Alligator mississippiensis: one gene and its partner. The protein of the gene in region 2 interacts with the protein of the main gene of each other region in a pairwise test. Links are inferred from orthologs where the notes say so. Each region holds a gene or a part of one and is shown on either strand. Other genes may lie near its edges.

The links.
Region 1: the proteins of GRB10 (region 2) and GIGYF2 interact in a two-hybrid assay, tested with the Homo sapiens proteins (2 studies listed by BioGRID). The link is inferred for Alligator mississippiensis from reciprocal best matches to the Homo sapiens genes GRB10 and GIGYF2.

Annotation. Positions count from the first base shown.
Region 1 is NC_081830.1:38,591,667-38,601,549, reverse strand, and holds the start of GIGYF2 (GRB10-interacting GYF protein 2), read right to left. Parts: upstream 4,570-9,883; 5' UTR 4,474-4,569; exon of another isoform or gene 4,470-4,473; intron 1-4,469. UniProt on the Homo sapiens protein: Key component of the 4EHP-GYF2 complex, a multiprotein complex that acts as a repressor of translation initiation. In the 4EHP-GYF2 complex, acts as a factor that bridges EIF4E2 to ZFP36/TTP, linking translation repression with mRNA decay.
Region 2 is NC_081828.1:91,955,392-91,965,083, forward strand, and holds the start of GRB10 (growth factor receptor-bound protein 10), read left to right. Parts: upstream 1-5,956; 5' UTR 5,957-6,112; intron 6,113-8,687; 5' UTR 8,688-8,745; intron 8,746-9,692.

The sequences.
Region 1 (9,883 bases), on a different chromosome or scaffold from region 2:
TTTTGTATACAAAAAATATAAGCAATAAACTATACCATTGTACTCTACTTGTCATCTTAACTATGACATTTTACTGTTTCCTCACACTTTGAAGACAAGACACTTGACAATTTCAAGATAAGGATCCCCCCCCCACCTCCCTCTGCATTCAACATGGGGAAAGAAGCCCCATATCTCTGATTTGATTACAAAACAGGGGATAGACAGCTGCTGGAACTCTGGCCCTAAGTTGCCACCACTTATGCTCAGTAGTAACTACAACTTTGCTCCAGCCTGGGGCATAAAGCACCGTTCCAGCCCCACACACAGGCAGCAGCAATTGCAGTAGAATCAGCTCAGGCTGCAGCTGCAAGGGGTGGGGGCCCTAAGGGGCAGGACTCTAGCCACTTGACATCCCACTGCCTGCCACCCCCCCCAATCTTGCTTTTCCCACTACAGTGATAGGGGAGGGATAGGACAGCACAGGACAGGATATTGCACAAATTTAAGATGACCCTCCAATAATTAAATTCTGTACATGGAAAATTATAGCCAACCTATACATTTCTCATGTACAGAATCTAATTACTAAGGAATCATCCTTAATATGACCAAGTCATCTCAGATGTAGGTAAATACGGTATTTAAACAACTAGCAGGAAAGGCAACCATACAAACTTGTAAAGCTAGGAATGAGATTCTAATCCTAAATCTTCACAATTTGCTGTTATCATTTGAACTAAAGAAGTCTGCTATAATAATAAAGTGCAGTAGAATTTTATGTTTTATATGCTACAACAAATCACAAGATGACAAGCTGTTCACATACACCATAAAAAACATTATTTAACATTAATAATTCTTCTTTGATACAACCTAATTTCTTTAAAGTACAGCCTGAGCAAAATTTGTTGCAAGTGAAAAGTTTTCAAGCCAAACCACTTTTGCCAGGCTGAATACAGATCTCAAAACCTGACTTCAAGAGATGGGGAAGAAAGCAAACCTTTGGATAATGTAGTTCATTCCCATGAAAGAGGACACAGATGCCAAAAGAAGATATCAAATGCTTTGTTTTCAAATATCACTTGACGAATTAAAATAAGACATGCCAATGCATTAATAAAGCCTCTTTATTGTGAGAAATGGATATGTCTCACAATAAGGGATGAGCTTCCTGTTACCAAAACATTCCAAAGATCTTGCAGGAAACCTGCACAGGTAGGAAGGAAAATAAAGTTAAGAAGTCAGTTCATTCTCTTGTTTCTTTCTGGTCTAAAAAAGGAACCAGGAAGGGTTTTGTTTGTTTATGCTGTCATCCCTAACCCCAACTGTTTACATTTAAAAATTAAAATCTGATTTATCTGCAAGTCACAGAACATGAACAGGGGATACCATAAACACCAAAGAAGGTACGTCTGAATAATTCAGAGGGAAATGGATAGACTGTTTAAAAAATAACAAGAGCGCTTCAATCTCTTTCATTCAAATTCTCAATGGGACAGTCTGTAATACCTTTTTAAAAAAAAGGTATTTTGATTATCGACTGAAAAAAATACTATTGCCTATTAACTAGACTTTCAAGAAGACCTCACACAAGAGCAAGGAAGACAAAATTTACGTTTTGATATTTCGAATTTTAAAAACCAAACAGAAACTCTAAAGAGTTCGCAATCTAAATACAACGAAGCTGCACGAAAACACCAGTCCCCACTCCCACCCTCAATTCTCCTTTTTAGGGCACATTAATCTAAAGGTGTCAAACTGCTTTTCCCTTGAGAGTGTTTTAAAACACTTCAAAGTACCTTTGGCAGATCTGTCAACTATCAGACAATCTATCCTAAACATTAACACAGATCAATGTGAGCCACAATATGCAGGTGCATTACCAGTCACATCTCAATTGTACAGATCAGTCAGGACGCATAATTTAATAAGACTGTTTCAGAAGAATTTATAACTCTAAACGGCACCATCAACTTTATTTTTCTTCTTCCAATTTTAGCTTTAAGAAATCCTGAGTTCCTGCTGACACCCTTTTCAAATAACAGTTCTCTCAAGAACTTCCTGCTTGCTTTACATTCCTTTGACATGCATACTCACAGGGATATTCCTGTCTTGGTGCACATGAGACTTTTCACCGTGCTCAAAGTGAACTAATTATACAAGGAAAATTGTGTGCATGCACACGCACACACGCGTGTGCGCACACACAAACTATATACAAAGCAAAACTGGATGCAGGTTGGTGTGCACAAGACGTGGAGTCACTCTTCACCAACTTTTCAGTTACAACAGCTTTATATTTAACTATGACCAATACAAGCTTTTCACAGAAAAGGTTGACTTCTAAGGTTTTATATTTATTGGATATTTTTTAGATGAAAAACTCCTGCAGAACACCTATTTTTAGGCACCCTGCAAGTCAGTGCATTTCATGAAGCAAGAATCTTCAAGGCATTAAAAGAAATAGTTTCATACATGTGTTACAATCCTTTGAAGATGCCTTATTCCCAAAGTAATGAGCAGTAAACAAAGACCGCAAGATAAATATTGAAGCAGAAGGCAGAGCAGAGACGAAGCTCATAGACTTAAGTCAGAGGTGCATATACTTTTGTGAGCCTCAGCTCATTTTATTAGATGCTTTAGATAATCTATAGTAGGGGCTAGCAACCTATAGCCCGCAGCCTGCATGCAACCTGCAGAACCATTTGATGCAGCCCACCAATGCGGAACTTCATCAGTCATACTAACCCAGTTTGGGTCAAAGATGGACATGTGGAGGGCAGGCGCTAGGGCCAAGTCACTGCTACCATGATTTCTGGCAGCAAGTGCACAGGGAAAGCATGCACCACAGCCACTGCTCCATGCAGTGGCATGGAGGGTCCGCAACTGGTGCTTTTCCCTGCAGCAGCAGGGAGCTTTGACAGATTTTTAATTCTATATTTTGCTTAAAAAAGAAAAACTAGACTAAGATGTTCAGAAAAACCTATGCAACAAATGTGGAGAGAAATTATCTCTGTGCATGTCCATCTTCCCAGACAGCATAGGGCTCTGCCCAACTCCTGAAGTTATTAACAGAGTCAGATTTAATGCAATTTTCTGAGGCAGTTGAAAGAGGTCTCCAGACATCAGTGGAGACAAGAGTATGAGTAATACGTAAAATGTCATTTACAGCAACATGTGCCATTTACATGGATAACACCCGTTTGCCATGTAAAACAGTTTACCAGGCTGCAAATGCTTGCATTTTACTCCCTTAGCCTGACGAAGGGTTTTTGAAAGCTGCTTAATAAATATTCTCCAACTATTTGGGTTGGTCTAATAAAAGATATCAAATTCACCCAAGGAACCTTGTCTGCATTTTACTCATGTATTCAGTGAGAAGTCCATGCTGTGGCACATGCTCCGACTGCAACTCCCTACAATGAGCCAACACTTACACAATTATTTTTAAGAAATTCTCCCCCTATAACAATGCTTCTGGTTATTGCTGCTAGTGCTAATGGGCTGTAGTTGTTGTTGCTGTTTTAAACTCTATCATCAACTAAAGTGGCTAAAAGAGGGCTCGATAATTAAGTACAAAAAACAGATGCCTCATCTTTCACTGCTTCTAGCAGCAGAGATGGCTGCATTACCAGGAGAGTTTAAAAGTATTAGAGACCAAGCTTTCTTTCCTCAGCTATGTTAACATTTGTGGAGAAGGGCTATCACACTTCCAGCAAGCCTCAACAATTAAAAAAAATAACCTTAAGAACCAAATCAGCAGAATCAGGGAGGAAGGAAGGAAGCCTTAGGTAGCGTTTAAATCACAGGTTACTGGGATGGTTTGGACAGAGATGCACCCTGCCTTATGCAGGGGGACCCGCCTGATGTGACCCTGCAGGTCCCTTCCAGCCCCACTGCTCTGGGAGTCCAGGATTCAACCCACAGAGGCTCTGCATGGGGTTGCTCCTGAGGCATGAAAGGCAAACGGCAGGAAATAAAAAGTTAGGAAGAGGCACAAAAAAAATACCCAAGTGAAAGGCACTTCAGGCTCCCAAAACGCAGCCCCAGAGTAGGAGCACGGACGGCTGCCAGAGGCGCACAGGAGCACGGGCCCGGGAGGACGCGGGGCTGAGACCTGCCTCGGACCAGCGGCCACCACGCGGGCCCCGAGGGACGGCTAGGCCCGTCCTGCCGCGCGGAGGGAAGGCCCAGGCCCAGCCCTGTCGCGGCCTCCGTGCGGCACTGGCAGACCGCAACGCGTCAGCGGGACGAGCAGGCCGGGGCGGCCCGGGGAGCAGCGGGCGCAGCAGCGTCCGGGCTCGTCGCCCCGCGGAGGCGTCCCCCGCCCCGCGCCAGGCAGCAGCCGCAGGCGAGGCCGGGGTCGGCGCGCGGCCTAGGCCTGCAGCCCCAGCGCAGCCCCGTAACGGAGCGGAGTGGGGCAGGAGTGGGTGGGGGCCGCCTAGGGGGAGAGAGGCAGAAGCGGGCGGGCGGGGCGGCGGCACTACCTACGGTCCCGAACGGAGAGTCCCACGGAGCCGAAGCGAAGCCTCAGTCCCAACAACACAAGATGGCGGTCGCGCCGCCACGCAGAGTCACGTGACCGGGAGCCCCGCCCCCCGCGGGCCCGGATGGACGCGCGCATGCGCCCTAGTACCCCCCGCCTCGTGGGGAACGACCCGACGCTGCTGACGTCACGCGCTGGTGCTGCTGTGCGGGGACCCACACGGCCGCCCGGCCGCTTGTGCGGGCAGCAACGCGCCTGACCCCGCTGCAGACCCGCGGCACCTGTACGGCGCAGCAATCTGGGGAATCGCCTCACACACCGGCCACGTGCCAAGTCACCCCATCAAAACCAGCCCTCCAGGTGGCTGGAGAGCCGACCGGCTATGGTAGAGCTGGGCATTAATTACGCCTTGCTCTTACGGGGCCAGCTTCATGGCTGGGACGGAGCCCGCGAGTCTCCGATAAGCAGCGTCCTTCGGAAACGCGCTAACTGCATCTGAACTGCCCAGCTGGTCCGTGAAAGAGATCGCCCCCAAAAACGCCTCGCCTGGGCTGTCATGGCTCCTGGGCTGTCACAGCTACGACCTGGCTCCGACAGGACCGCGCTGCGTTAAAACGTGGGCCGGCCTCACCTGCCGTGTACAAGAGAGCAACAGTCCCGTGGCCACCCACCGCCAGGCCTGCTGGTGCTGTCAGGGCACTGAGGGTCGTGAAGACAGGCTGGGACTGGAAGGCCTTGGTGTACAGGGTTTAAAGCACAACAAATTGATGGTCTGTAACCAGATCCCAATGACTCTGTGGTCCATCATAACTGTCCTGATGTAAGGGGCCTAACACTGATACTCCCCAACTCTCAACCTTTCTGCACTTAAGGCACCCTTCATTTGATTCAAAGCCTCCCTCAAAAAATGTGAACACTTAAATTTTCCCTCATTTTTTACTACAGAAAAATAATAGAGCAGTTTTTCTGTTGCAAAGCACCCAGAAAGACCACATTGGATGAGAATGTCCTTAATGCTATAGATTCCTATCTGTGAGCCATGTTTGCACAGATAACAGTACTAACATCATGTTGCACCCCATAGTACCCTTGAAAGGATCTCAAGACACTCGGTTGCCCTAACCCCTGTCTCACTGCCCTAACCCCCGCAGTTCATAAGTAACAATAAGCCTACTTTTTGTTCCATCTGCTTTTTAGCTCAGCTATGTCTGCTTCTGGCTCAGAGGCCTGAGAAAGGGTACTGACACACCCGATAGCTTGCCTTGGTGTATACAAACTATACTGTTGGTCTAATAAAAGATATCACCCATAAGTATTCTTGCAGATCCCAAATGTTATCTGCTTTTGGGTCAGTAGGAGTATAGGGCAGGGCTTTCCCAGCTAAAAATAGTCGTTTATTTATAGTCTTAAAAACCATATTAGTACTTGATGCTGGCTATTTTAGTCATAAAACCTATTTTTAGCTATTATGCAACATCAAAGGAATTACCATTTGCAGCTGGAAAAAACATTCTTTAATCAAGAGTTCTGGCCTAAACACATTTGGTTTTTATTTCAGATCTTGGAAGCTGGTAAATACCTGATACTGCACACTGAATGCTGGCCCTAGATGACACAACAGTGAACATGCACAATTTTCTGAGCTAATGAGCTAAAAAGGCTATTGGTCCTTGAACGTGTTTTGAGTTCACAGCAAAATGATAAGACTAATCACATTCCAACAAGAATCTTAAAACAAAGCTCCTCCCTCGGAGTGTGGCAAGAGAAAGCCTAGCTGTAGCAAAGCTGTAAATTTCTGGCCTGTGACTACTTGGATTTCAGTTTTCCTAGCTTCTTGATAGTGGTTAGAGCAGCATGAAAAAGAGATCATGGAGGGAGGGAGGCACCCCACATTTCAGAACAGGAACTTGCAAGTTTACTAGAGAACATTGTCCCAATGCATTTTCTTGACAGATCAGTTAGATGATGTAAATAACTCACGGTATTTTATTCTGAGGGTTCAGAAGTGGCCTGTGACTCATCTGGGAGAAATTTAAAGTTGGACCCTTTTTTTTTTTGGTTAGAGAAGCCCAAATACATTTTCAAGGGATGTTTTAAACTTATTTTCTCTGCAGAAGTATCTTTTCATAATATTATAAGAAAATTCAAACAGCACCTTTGTATCTTGGTAGATTTGTTCCAAGGTTTCCATTATGGTCAACCACAAACAATGACAGACACAAAACATGACTGTTTAATCCATTGCTGACCTCAGAGCAACTGTTCTTAGACACCACAACTTTAAAAACTAGCTTTAACTGGAAATTGCAGAAATCATCTACAGAGCAGGTTGTGTTAAATATGGTTCAAATCAAGACTATGGATTCTTATCCCATTATCTTGTTCAGCTTTTAGAACACCTATGTCCCTCAATGGTTTAACCACTTTGTTTTCCTCTCTTCTATTCACCTTGCATCTGCCAGCAGTGCCCCCTCCTTTTTTCCTCCTGGTTCCTGACCTTTGTATTCTAATCACTGCTTTCTATTTGAAGCTTCACTTCCTGCAGTCCCTTTATAGTATCTGATGGAGTAAGCCACTGCTTACAAAAGCTTCTGCATCTATAATTTATTTAGTCTAAGGTGCAAATCTACCCTGCCTTCTGCCTATGTGGCTAAACTCATCCATGGTGTAACTATAAAGACGACTACTGGTTACTGTAGGTCATTATGTGGGTAGAAATCCTTTGGAACACTAAATCAATTTGATTGCAAAACTGGGAGAGTGAGGTAAAGGACCTTTAATTAACTAAAAGCACCTTTATTGACCAGCCCTTTTCACTGTGTCCTAGCTTGATAGAAGCAAGATATATCTTACTTTACAATATGTGTGGAGCTAGGAACTACATAGCCTTTGAAAAGGAAAATAAGTATCATAAAATATCAGTGTTTAAGATGCAGCAGTAAATATATCTCACCAGCCTTTGTTTTGATTATAGTAAAAAGTACTTGTTCACCTGTGATTGATAGCACATAATGTTCCCAGCAGGCCAGAAACACAGAAGGGTTTATTTTCAGTCACTGAGTTAATTGCCAAGATGGCAGAAAGGAAATCATTCTTTGGAAGTTCCTCCAAGTTCTTGAGACCACGTAAAACCAGCTTCCTGGGTAAAGACCCAGACCAGTGGTGCTCAACGTCCAGCCCACAGGGCTCCCCACAAGTCCATAAAAACACAAAGCTGTCAGTCTGCTTGATAGTCTTTCAATCAAGCTCTGGCTGTTTTCTAACAGAGCAGAACAGAGCGCTGCCAGCTGGTGTCCAAGCAGGAGTACAGCACTCTTCTTGGGGCTTTGCAGACCCCTGCCCCACTAGCCACATGCTGTTGTTGCTGCTACTGTGTCCGATCCTGCAGTACTGTGGGTTGTAGATGGGCACCCGTGTTGGGATGGGGTAAGGTTGGGGGGAGAAGCACAGCGTAGAGTGCAGTGGGGAACAGTGAGGTATGAGAGCAAGCAGACAACCCCTGGCTTGGAAGCACCATGGTGCAAAACCATTGCTGTGGTTGAGCAGTGGTGCCAACCCAAGGATATTTATATATAAAAGTGTTTTATACATGTATAAGTATATATATTTTATACATATTAAAACATTTTTCCTGAAACTTTTTATTGACAATTATTTATTTATTCATTTATTTTTACTATGTTTGGTGTTAAACCCCCTAAATATGAACCCAGTCTTTCTAACTGGTGCATGGCAACAGGGCAGGGCTCAGCTCAATAATTACATTTACATTACATAAAAACATACCAGTATTAAAAAAAAAAAGTGTCAGTAAAAGAAAGTTTGGTTGTCAATAAAACAACAGAGAGACAAAAAGCCCAAGTTTCTTGGGCTAGCAATCCTGAATGGCACATCTGTATCAACCTCAGATTAGGGAACCAAATCCCTCATGTGTAGATGAGCTTCTTAAAAATATCCCATGATGCAGAGCCATGTGCCTGACATACAAAGTATTTCTGCTTCTATACAAAGATTTAAAACTTCAGCTTCTGGCAGATACTACCACAGGTGTGTGTCATGTCAGCAGTGGAACCAAGTAATTTAATTTTGTCTAAAGTCCAGTGTATTTGGTGCAATACAGTGACAAATACATCTCTGGCCCTACATTTGCCATGCTTTTAAAACTTATTAACAGATTGTTTAATATGACAGTTCTCAGACAGCCACACATGGTCAGTCAAAAACCCAGTACTGCAGTCTCTCTTACAAGCAGAGTTGCATCCATCGATAAACATTTTCCACAGACCAGAGTAAGAAATGCCAAGTATTTTATTCCAGAGAAGGTTCCAGTCCTGGCTCCCTGTCAGATGCTTTTCATCCCCTGGCCACAGAGCAATCTACATCTTACTTTCAACCTCTATAATACCAAGACTTTTGAGGAAACCAAGGCAAGAGACAGGGTTAATGACTAAGAGGGTCACACTGCATGGTCCAGGCAGTTGTGGTATTTGGATCTGGTGAACCATCAATGCAGCCACCAAAGCCAGCTTACCTGCTGTACCTGACAGTCTCAGAGAACAAAATCAGATCACATACCTCATATCTAGGTTCAGCTTCATTATATCCACTTGGACTTCACTGGTTGGTGCACATGCACTCCATACATGAGTGGCTGTTTGCTTCCTCCCTGCCCTTTTTTTTTTTTTGCCACCAGGATCTTATGCTTCTGTCCTTCCATCTGAGGGCATAAAGGCTATGGGCCCAACCACCCCTCAGTTCCTTTACCAATATAGAATCCTCAAGGAATAGGACACCATGGTAGAGGGGAAATTGAACTTTTTATCCCTCTTAAATGGGCAGTATTTAATACCTTTATACAACACCAGGCCTTTCTGGATGAAAAACTTTAGCTTTTGCATAGCTAGGAAGTTATGCTGTAGTGGAAACATTATAAGTTTGAGGTAGATTTATCTGCTTCTCATAACTGGAGTTGTGCAGTGTGCAGACATTTGAGACTTACAGGATCAGTGCTGGCAATTCTTGAATACAATGGTATGTCTGAGGACCTAAGAAGAGGCACTGACAAGACTGTGGATAAAGAAGGCTTTATTTATACATTTTAGCAACAGCAGAAATAATCAAAGATGCAGTTATCTGTTTTGTTTTAAAGTATAAAAACATTATAAATATTTAGCTAAAAAAGCGTGATTTATAAAATATAATATGTGGAGATATATACACAGTTTAATTGTTTAGCAGTTCTCCCACCTGACATTAAAGATCAGACATTTTTCTATTTATTATTCCATGCTCACAGTTTAGTGCTGCTCACAGTTTAAGAAGCAAAATAGGCAGGTGAAGATACAGAGCAGCAATCTGGTATGCGCTGTTCTGGAAGGAAGACAGACTGGGGCAAGAGCTGAGAGGAAGAACTTT
Region 2 (9,692 bases):
GTCCTTGTAACATATACCCTTGCCTCAGCAGCAAGGGTGTCCAGTGATGAGGAACTCAGTTCTCAACACCCTCACTAGAGAAGAGAAAGCAGCTGGGAGGATGTAGTCACTATCTCCCAGCTGTTTTCTTCTACAGCTGCTTCTGTGAGGGCCTACTTTGCTGCTACAGTAGCTCTCTGAGCCACATTTTCTGTCCAGAACACGGCCTGCTGAGGAGAGGCTCGTTTCCAGAATGGAAGAAGAAGACACCATGTGTGGAAAGGTGTCTATTTATACCATCAAGCTCAACTAAGGGGCCTTTGTCCTCTGCTAGGTGGAAGGTAAGGCCTCCCAAGTAGAACCCTCAACTTCGGTCAAAAGGGCTGGATCCTAGCCCAATCAAAGGGAAGACCTGAAGTATTAAAAAGCCTCAGCAATCATGAAGAAGAGTAGCAATAAAGAGCCATGGCCCTCCAGTTTCCCTACTCTTCAAAGTAGGGAAGGGCTGTGGGCCCTGACTGCTTGGCTGGCATGAAGATGCAACTTCCACCCAGATGTGGGATCTTAATGGGAGTGGTCCCTGTTACCCTCCACTTGACAGGACAGCATCACTCAAGAACTGTAAAATGCCTAGGTCAATTGGGAATGGTGAAGAGGCAGGAGGACTGACTGATGGTGTGGATGAGTGACAATTTAAACTGGGAAGTTGAAAAATGACTGACCGGGGTGAGTATTGTGAAAAGGGAGGAGGGTCAACAGTGAATGAAATGGACACGACTGAGCATAGAGTAGGAGTGGGTCACACTTGGGAAGCTGACTGTCTGAGGAAAGTGCGCAATGAATTCACTAAAGAGTGACTTGTGCATGTTGGAGCAGGTGATGTGTGTGTGAGAAACTGGAAAAAACATTTTGAAGGGCATGAAGGAAAGATTCATCAGAGAGAATGGAATGAGAACACAGAAGGAGGAGAGAGAAGTACAACATCCAGGGAGAAGGAGGACGGGGGTGATGAAGGGATGAAGTACAAAGACAACAGTGTACAGAACAGCGGGATTAAAGGAAAAGCAAAGGGAGAAAGAATAAAAGAAATATAGAATGAATGAGTTATATTTTTAGAATATGTTCAGTGAAGAGTTGAACAATGTTAACATGAATATAGCAGTTGAGTTGTTTCTAACAAAGGGCACTGGGACTTTCCCTGATTCCACCGGAATTTGTCCTACTCTATAGATAGAGCCAATCCTACTATAAGAGGGTTCTTCTATGTATGGCTAAGAGAATGCCTCCCGCCCACCTTTAGAATGCATTCGATTGAAACAAATGGTACATATTTTTTTAAAAGTCTCCTGAAGAAAGACAGCCTTGGGTTCTCTGGAAGGTAATATGCAGTACATAGCAATTTATGAGTTGCTTATTCTTCCTTGAATCTCACAACTCAGCCCCAGAGATATCTGGAGTGAAATGCAGGATGCCTTGTGTTCTGGAAAAGTTAGAGGTATTGTGCTTACGTGGGAATCCTGGGGAGTGCATGAAAATCTAATAATCTTTACAATATAGAAAGCCTGTCCTGCAGTTTCCATTACTGTTATTTGTTCCATTACTATTATTTGTTCAGACACATTGTGTTATACACCTGACCAAACTGGCAGTGTTCCCTGCGTTGTTATGGCAGCATTGAGAATAAGTGAGAGTAAAATTGAAAATATGACAGGCAGCCTAGGATAAAAAAAGGTCATGCGGTTACTTGTTATGCACACATGAATTTGCCAAAAGATTGTAGAATATGTACAAAATCTCTGCAATTCTAACATGTTAACATCACCTTTCCTGGTGAAGTGTTTCCTCATGAAACTTCCTATCCTGTCCCCTATTGCTAGCCACCATCCCCGTTCATTACCCAGCATCTAGCTTCCCAAGCAACGCCTGTCTTTTTTTGCCATTCGTCCAAACTACACCCAAGATGCATCATCCTGCAAGCATTTTGCACTTCCTCTCCCTGCCGCCCCCCTCCTCCCCCCCAAATAAAAACTCCCTGCTGACTAGACAGCTGGCCATGTCCCTCTTGCAGATTCAGCCCACAGGATGAGACAGGACATTCCTTTTGTAGTGCTCCAAGCCCAGTGCCCAAAGGTTCTGGCTGCTCCTTTTGAGTTAGGTGGATACAAGTGGCCAAAAATAGGTGTCTGAACATCAGGATCCAGTGGTAGCTGTATTGGCCAGGTCTCTCCAATATCATGCTATGACCCTGTCCCCACCCTTGTTAGGAAGAAACCAACAGCTGCATTTGATCAGACCAAGAATTCACTTGGTTCTGAATCCTGTCTCTGGCAGCAGTCAGAACTAGATGCTGCCTACCTAAAATATCTGCTTTTGTACTGTCTAGCTCAGTGATTCTCCACCAGGGTGCTGTGACAGCCTGGGTGCCTTGAGATCCTTTCAAGGGTGTTGCAGGGTGCCACTCAATGTTAGCACTATTAAGTGTGCACACACAATTCACAAGATAAACCCAGAAATTCAAATAGGAATCCATAGTGGTAAAACCATTCTGACCTGATGTGGCCTCTTTGGCCGTATCTATATGAGTGTGGACTTGTGGTAAGTGACACTGCAGACCTGTCCCATACACTGCACATACAGGCATTCCCTGCACTTTGCAGCGTGGAGGGTTTTTTGACCCCTGGAGACTCTTGGGTTCCCGGATCAAAAAACCCAATGTCAGAAAAAAGTGGGGCGGCACACATGGCAGTGCACACCACCCGAAACCAGAGCCTGGCTGGCTGGAGCCATGCTCTGGCTGCTGGCCAGGCTCTTTGCTGCAGGAGCACTGTGGCTGCAGCTCCTGGAGGCCCCCAGGACCCCAGGTAAGGCACAGTTGCTGGCCTCAGCCTCCCCTACCCCACCCAGTGTAACCTGCCACACACCGGAGCACACTTGGCATGGGCATTCCCTGGGGACAAGTAGCAGCGGCATAAGGTGTGCCACTGCTACTTCTCCCCAGGGAAACACACTGTCATTTTCTCTAGGATTTCTCCATAGTCAAACACAAGTGAACACAAAGGGCTCGCATTTTCTGATGGATGTCTTGAGCCTAGAAGGGGGGACCTTGAGTCTGTCAAGGGGTGCCATGAGTCTAAAAATGGTTGAGTACCACTTATCTACCTCATCTCAATTGCTAAAGGTTAGAGCAGTGGTTCTTAACCTTTTTAGACCCAAGGCACCCCATGTTAAATTTCAGGTACTCATCAGAAAATGCTATTTCGGCTGTCACTTGCTTTTTGACTATGGAAACATACAGCCATTCTTTTATTGCGAAGAACTCAGAAAGACCACAACAGGGTAGAGTGTTTTTAAGGGTACAGATTCCTTGGTGTAATTTCTGGGTACATCATGTCAATCAAATTGAATGAACTAGTAATGGGTGGCCATGCCCCGCAAGTGAACTGCCCAAGTTGCAGTCCTCTAGCACCCCAGGATGCAGTGTCCCTTTCCTTACTCTCCTGTTCTGTGTGGACAAACTTTCCATCCCCTGAACTCTACTGCCCAGGCACCAAGCTAACATCTCCTGCCTTCCTGGGGAGTATGACCTGCCCTCCCCCATGGATACAACCATGCTAACAGCCTACTGTTCCTTCTCCCTCCCCCCCAGCCACATCCCCCCACATATAGAGCATGGCTAGAAACGTGTCCTAGCTCACCAGGACAAGTTGCAAGTCTCAGCAGCAAGTCCCAGCTGTAGCTCTCTGCTCACCAGCCCTCCAGCAGTAAGTCACAGCTGGGCAGGTGGGGAATAATCAGAGGAGGCTTTTAGCTAGAAGGTGTGATTGCTCCCAAACTCAAGGTAGCACTAACCAATCAGCATTTGAGTAACTCAGAGTCCAACATGTAGCAAGGCCCTTTTTCTGCAGCCTGCCTTGCTTCTTCCTGAACAACCCCAGGCATTTGGATACCCCATAGCCTGAATGGTTTCTCAGTACAACCACGCTTGGTGCTAGCCTTGAGGGCAGCCCCAGCCTTTCCCCTGTTCCGGGCCTCTGCTGGCGGCTCCTACACGGAGCTGTTGCCACAGGCATGTATCTGGCATGGTTTACGGATGCTCCTGACACCTGCCCTTTCTGCGAGCAGAGGGAGACCGTGGAGCAGAGGGAAACCGTGGAGCACACCTACCTGGAGTGCACCAGGCTGAAGCCCCTTCACGGCCTCCTTCAGAACCTCCTGCTGGGGTTCTGCCTGCACCAGGAAGGAGGCTCTGGGCAAGAGGACCCTGAGGACTGTGGGACTGCTTTCTTATCCCCAATGTGATCCTGTCTCCAGGCAGAGTATCACTGAGCAGTGTCCACTGGCACCTTGGACTCATTTGAGGGCCTGTGAGTGCTGTCCAGTGTGCTTTGCTTGGTGTCTCCCCTTGGCACTCTTGTTATGAACCTTTGACCTCCACTCCTGTCCCTGTTTTCATTATGATTTGTCCCAAGTAACCAGTCACACATCACTAGTGGCCCCCAGTACTAAAAGAGAGCTTATAGTATCCTTGGTGGGCCATGAAATCCCCTGATGTGTTAAAGTCCTGTCCCTGGTGTGATCCTTTCTCTGGGCAGAGTACCACTGGGCAGTGTCTGCTAGCTCCTTGGACTTATCTGAGAGCCAGTGGGTGTTGTCCGGTGTGCTATGCTTCATGTGCCCCCTTTGGGCACTTGTTTTAAACCTCTGACCTCACTCCCAGCCCTATTGTCTTTAATTGTTCCCAGAAATCAGTTATTTTCTACCTAGCGGCCTCCCTTTTTTAAGGGGGGCTTATAGCGTTCCCTTGTGGGTATTGGCCTGCATTACAGGCTGAGGGATACTCTCAGGGACTGCTTTCCTGTCCCTTGTCTGCCAGGGCTGCTGACTCTGTTTGAATCTATTCTGGGAGGTTTCCAGAACTCCAGTGTGCCCACGACACACAATGCCAACATGCCCACATGCTAGCATATATCAGTTCTGGGTTATGGTTATGGGCATGTAGACTTTATGGCAGGAAGACATGTGCATGTTCCTATTACATTTTAAAAACCCACCACCCTACAGCATAAATTGGATTCAACCTTTAATAATTATTTTAACTAATATCCTATCAGTTATGTCCCCGGTGACTCTCAGCAGTCTCCTGGAGATTTACATCTCATTCCTGAAGGCTCCAAGGCAGTCCTGGAAAGCTGGCAACCCTAAATGTGCCCACTCACCGCTGTCTGCTCAACCCTTAAATGTGTCTGCCCAACCCTCATGTCTGCTCAGCCTTTAAATGTGTCTGCTCAACCCTAAATGTGCCTGCTTACACTCCAAATACATCTGCTGAACCCTAAATGTGTCTGCCCAACCCTTTCTCTGCTCAACCCTAAATGTGCCTGCTCACTTCTGTCTGCTCCACCTGTAATGTGCCAGCTCACCCCATGTCTGCCCACCAGTAAATGTGCCTGCTAACCCCGTCTGCTGAACCCTAAATGTGTCTGCTCACCCCATAAATGTGTCTGCCCATCCCTTTGTCTGCGCAGTCCTAAATGTGTCTGCCCACCCCCTATGTCTCCTCAACCTGTAACGTGCCTGCTCACCCCCCAATGTGTCTGCCCAACCCCAAAGGTGCCAGCTCACTTCTCGGCAATTTCCCTGGGCAGGGCCGCTGGCTCCTTGGCGGCCGGGGGCGCTGTCCATGCTGCCGCGCTCGGGGTCCCCCCTCGGCTCCCTCACTCTGACCCTGTGATCTCCCCCGCCTTTGACCGGGTCCCAAGAAAAGGAGCCGGGAGTTTCCCAGGCGCCGCCTTGCCCGGGGAGGCTTTATGGTTCCTGGCGGCGGCCCCGGGCCGGGGTCCGGTGCAGACAGGCCCGCGGGCGAGGGGCAGCCCCGGGCGGAGGCGGCCCGCGGAGGCCGGGCGTGGGCGGCGCGGCTGCGGCTGCGTGCGGCGCCGGGGCGGGCGGTGGGAGGAGGCAGGGATGCACCCTAAGCCGGGGAGTCAGCTGAGGCGGGGAGAGGCCAGGCTCGGCGGCGTCGCCTCGTGTGCGCAGCGGCCGCACAAGTTTCCTTCGTGCTGCTCCGCGCCCGCCCGGGCTCCAACTTCCCGCCGCGGCGGCAGCGGGGGAGCGGCCAGGCGGGCCGGGCGCGCAGGTAAGGCTGAGCCGTGGCCGCGGGGTGCGCCAACTTCCTCGTCCCCGCTGCAAACTTGGCGGGCCCCCAGCCCCTGCGCCGGGACGCGGCCGCCCCAGCCCCCGCCCCCGCCCCGCCGCTTCTCCAGTCCCCGCCGCGGGGGCACAGCGGCTCGCAGCCGCCTCCGCTGGGGCTGCCCCTCGGCGCTGCTGTCCCGGCCTCTCCCTGGCTTGCCATCGAGAACGGGCTGCAGCCCCGGGCTCGGGCGGGGAGGGCTCGTCTGTCTAACCTTGCCGCCCCCCTCTTTTCTTTTTTCTCCCCCTCCCCCCCGAGCCTTGGAGAAGCGGGGCTGAAGGGACCCGGCGAAGTTAGGCTGCCCGAGGCAGGATCCGACCCATCCCAGCCTCCCAACGCTTTTCTTTTGAAGCTGGGCAGAAGTCTGTATTTAAAGCGGGGTGGCAAGTGCTGATTCAGCAGGCGGCTCTGAAGCGGTGCTCTCTGTGCGTGAAGAGGGGGGGAAAGGGAAGAAATGTTTGGATTTGTTGAACCGGGAGCATATGGCGCTGGCATGTCAGAGCAGCATGGGTCCAGGCTTACTGAGCAGCTCTAAGCGGGCTTCTCGCTGCCCGTTTTGTCTCCTTGAAGGAGAGGGGTGGGACGGAAGGCAAAGTTTGGGTACGTCTCTCCCTCTTTCCTTCAGTTGCATTCGGATGATGGGTTGGAAAGGTTGCTGCTTCCTACAGGGGTGGATGTTTTAATTCTTTGTTGCTGTTTTATTTAACTGCTCCGGCTACAAAAAGCTGCCTTGGTCCACCACGAAAGCTCTAACTTAATTTCTTCTTCCATGCATGGACCTGCCTTATTTACGGCACTGGAAAAGGTACAGAGAAGGGCAGCAGGGCTAATCCCAGGATTAAAAGGAGTGAGTTATGAGGACGGGTTTAAAAAAAAAAGTGTACGGTGCTTAGAAAACCTGACTGGTGTGCCTCAAATGCCAAAGGCTGAATGGTGGAAATGATACTCCTGTTGGCTCCTCCTCTGCAAAGGCAAGAGAAAAGATATTAAGCATGTTCTGCAGTTACGGTGCTCCTTACCTAGAAGGTCTGATGAGAAGAGATGCAGCTATTTAAGAAGCGTATTTTTCTCTTTCTCATCCTTTGGTCTCAAGGTGTGCATTTCTATTCTAACCAATACATCGAACTTTTGATTCTGAAGCTTGCTTTGCTAAAAAAAAACCCTAAAAATATCGATTTGTCTTTTTAAAATGCTGCACAGTGTAGGGTAAACAAAGCTTGGAAAGCAACACTTGGTGGTGTCTGTTCTGAACTATGAATTGATAGAAAGGCAGACTTGTACACCTGCCTTCAGTGATTTTCCCTCCCATACACACACTTTTTTTTGTACTGTACTTCATTTGCACTCTTATTTGCTCTTAGAGGTAGCTTCTGTTTGCTCTGGCTGGGTGTTAGATCTTATGGTACTTCTGTGGTTTTCCTTGGTTTTGATAATCCAAATATTCTCTCCTGTCTTGCTCCATGTATCTGGCTTTCATCCTCTAATCCAGTTGTGACACTCTTTCAATGGTGTTTTGTCTTCTAGTCCAGAAAGCTTTCCCTAATTGCAAAGCGCATCTGTTTTTGGTTCTGCTCACAGAACCTGGCTGATGTCATTGTAGTTTCTTATAGACACTGGGTTTCTTCCTGTATTGCAGCCCAGTGTCTAAAAGTAGCTGGATCCAACTAGCTATGGGATCCCTCCAGCCTGGGGAGTCCCGGGTGGCAGAGAAGTTGTATAACTGTCAAATACCATTTCTTCCAGGAGCTGTTGTAGGATGGGGTGAGAGGGTTGGGGGCATATGACTGTGCTAGCCTGTGTTTCTGATGAAACCCAGTTAGCAGTGTCCTACTGGAGGCTGGTGCCAGCTGGTGTGTACCCCACTGGCTTATGTCTAAATACCACAGTCTGGCTTTGAGAACCAAGCAAAGAGGTACAATAAGAAAACTCATTGTCAGCCATAAGAGAATGACACACATGTTTTTAAGGCATTACATGAACATTCCTTTTAGCACCCTGGATTAATTTAGTTGTTTGGGTTCCCTACGTAAAACGTGTGCGACAGAGTAAGAGCTCTAGGGGGAGAAACTTCTGTAGTAAGGCTAGATTTCTTCACTTTAAAAGTGTTTGCTTGAAAGCGTGCTGAGCAAATCTTACAAAAACTGTTTGAATGTAGTCTCATGGGATGTGGTCGTGTTGCAGTAGTGAACTTTTCGCACCTCCATTTTGACTATCTGATTTAGTTTATTACTAAGGATGCATGGCTTTCAATTATAAGGTCTTCTCTAAAGAGCTTCTTTTCTATGTATGCTAACTGAAGGCCCATGCCCCATATCTGGTTATACCTGTGGGCATCATCCCAGGAATTGGTCTGAGAGCAGCTCCTAGTCACTTTCACCTCTGCACATCATTAATGAGGTTTTGTGACAGGTGAGGGTGGGGCTGTGACTCCTCCCCTTTTGGATCAGTTTCATCCTTTCTAGGAATGAAGCAACCAAAGAAACCTATAACAGAGGTATCAGTCTCAGTTCTTTTCTTTCAGCCTTGCCACTAGTTGCTGGCTCAGAAGCTACTTTCCGGCTCTAACTCAGATGTGACAAGTAAGTGCTGCTTTCCTTTCTCTTTCTCCAGAGCCAGATAAGAGCAACATGGGTGTCATGGCAACATTATTTCAGGTAAATGGATGCCTGATGCCATTGGCCCGTGCTTCATTCTACCTGTTGTTGTTGCTGGTGGTTGTTCAGTGTTTGTTCTGTTTCCATTGCTTCTATCCCACTAGGCTTGCAAATCTACCTGCTCCCAGACCTCGACATACTCCAAACCAGATCCAATTTATCTGCCTTTCTCCTGGCCTCTGTAGATTTGGACATCTGTTCCTTCACTCACACAATTAACTCAGAGTTCAAATCAGGAGGAAAGGAAATGTAAAGGTAATGTTGCTAAGGAAATGTAAAGTATACAAAGGAAATTGGATTCTATTGCCTACATGCCGACTAGAAGCAGGCCGCACAAAGTGACATGACTTATCCTTGTGGGACAAGGCAAGGCCAGCCAGCAGACAATCTTTGACCACACCAGTGCTGAAGCATCTAACATAGTCTGCATTGTCAGACCTTGTTGGATGAAACTGGGAACTCTCTACTAGCTCAACTTGTTCCTCCAGGATAACTACTTCATTGCAGGACAAGGTAGGATAAGAAGCCAGACAGCGGTGCCTTCATCTTTTCATCAAACAGTCAATGCAAGGGAGGTGCCTTGAGCACGAAAATTCAAGCTTAATTCATATGAGAGCAGAAATGATTCGGGTCTAACAGATTGCATGCTCCTTTACAGGTTAGTGCCATCAGTGTTGTAGTTAAAGTTTCATCCTGAGAGACTTTAACATGCTCATCAACAAGTCTGTGAAAATCCAAAAGCTCAGTTGTTCACTGAGACAGACTATTCCTGGTTCAATTCAAGTAGCTGGTCACAATCTAAATCTGGTCCCTTAGCCCAGGGGTGGCCAAATATGGCCTGAATGCCAGATCCGGCCTGCCAGGTGACTGGA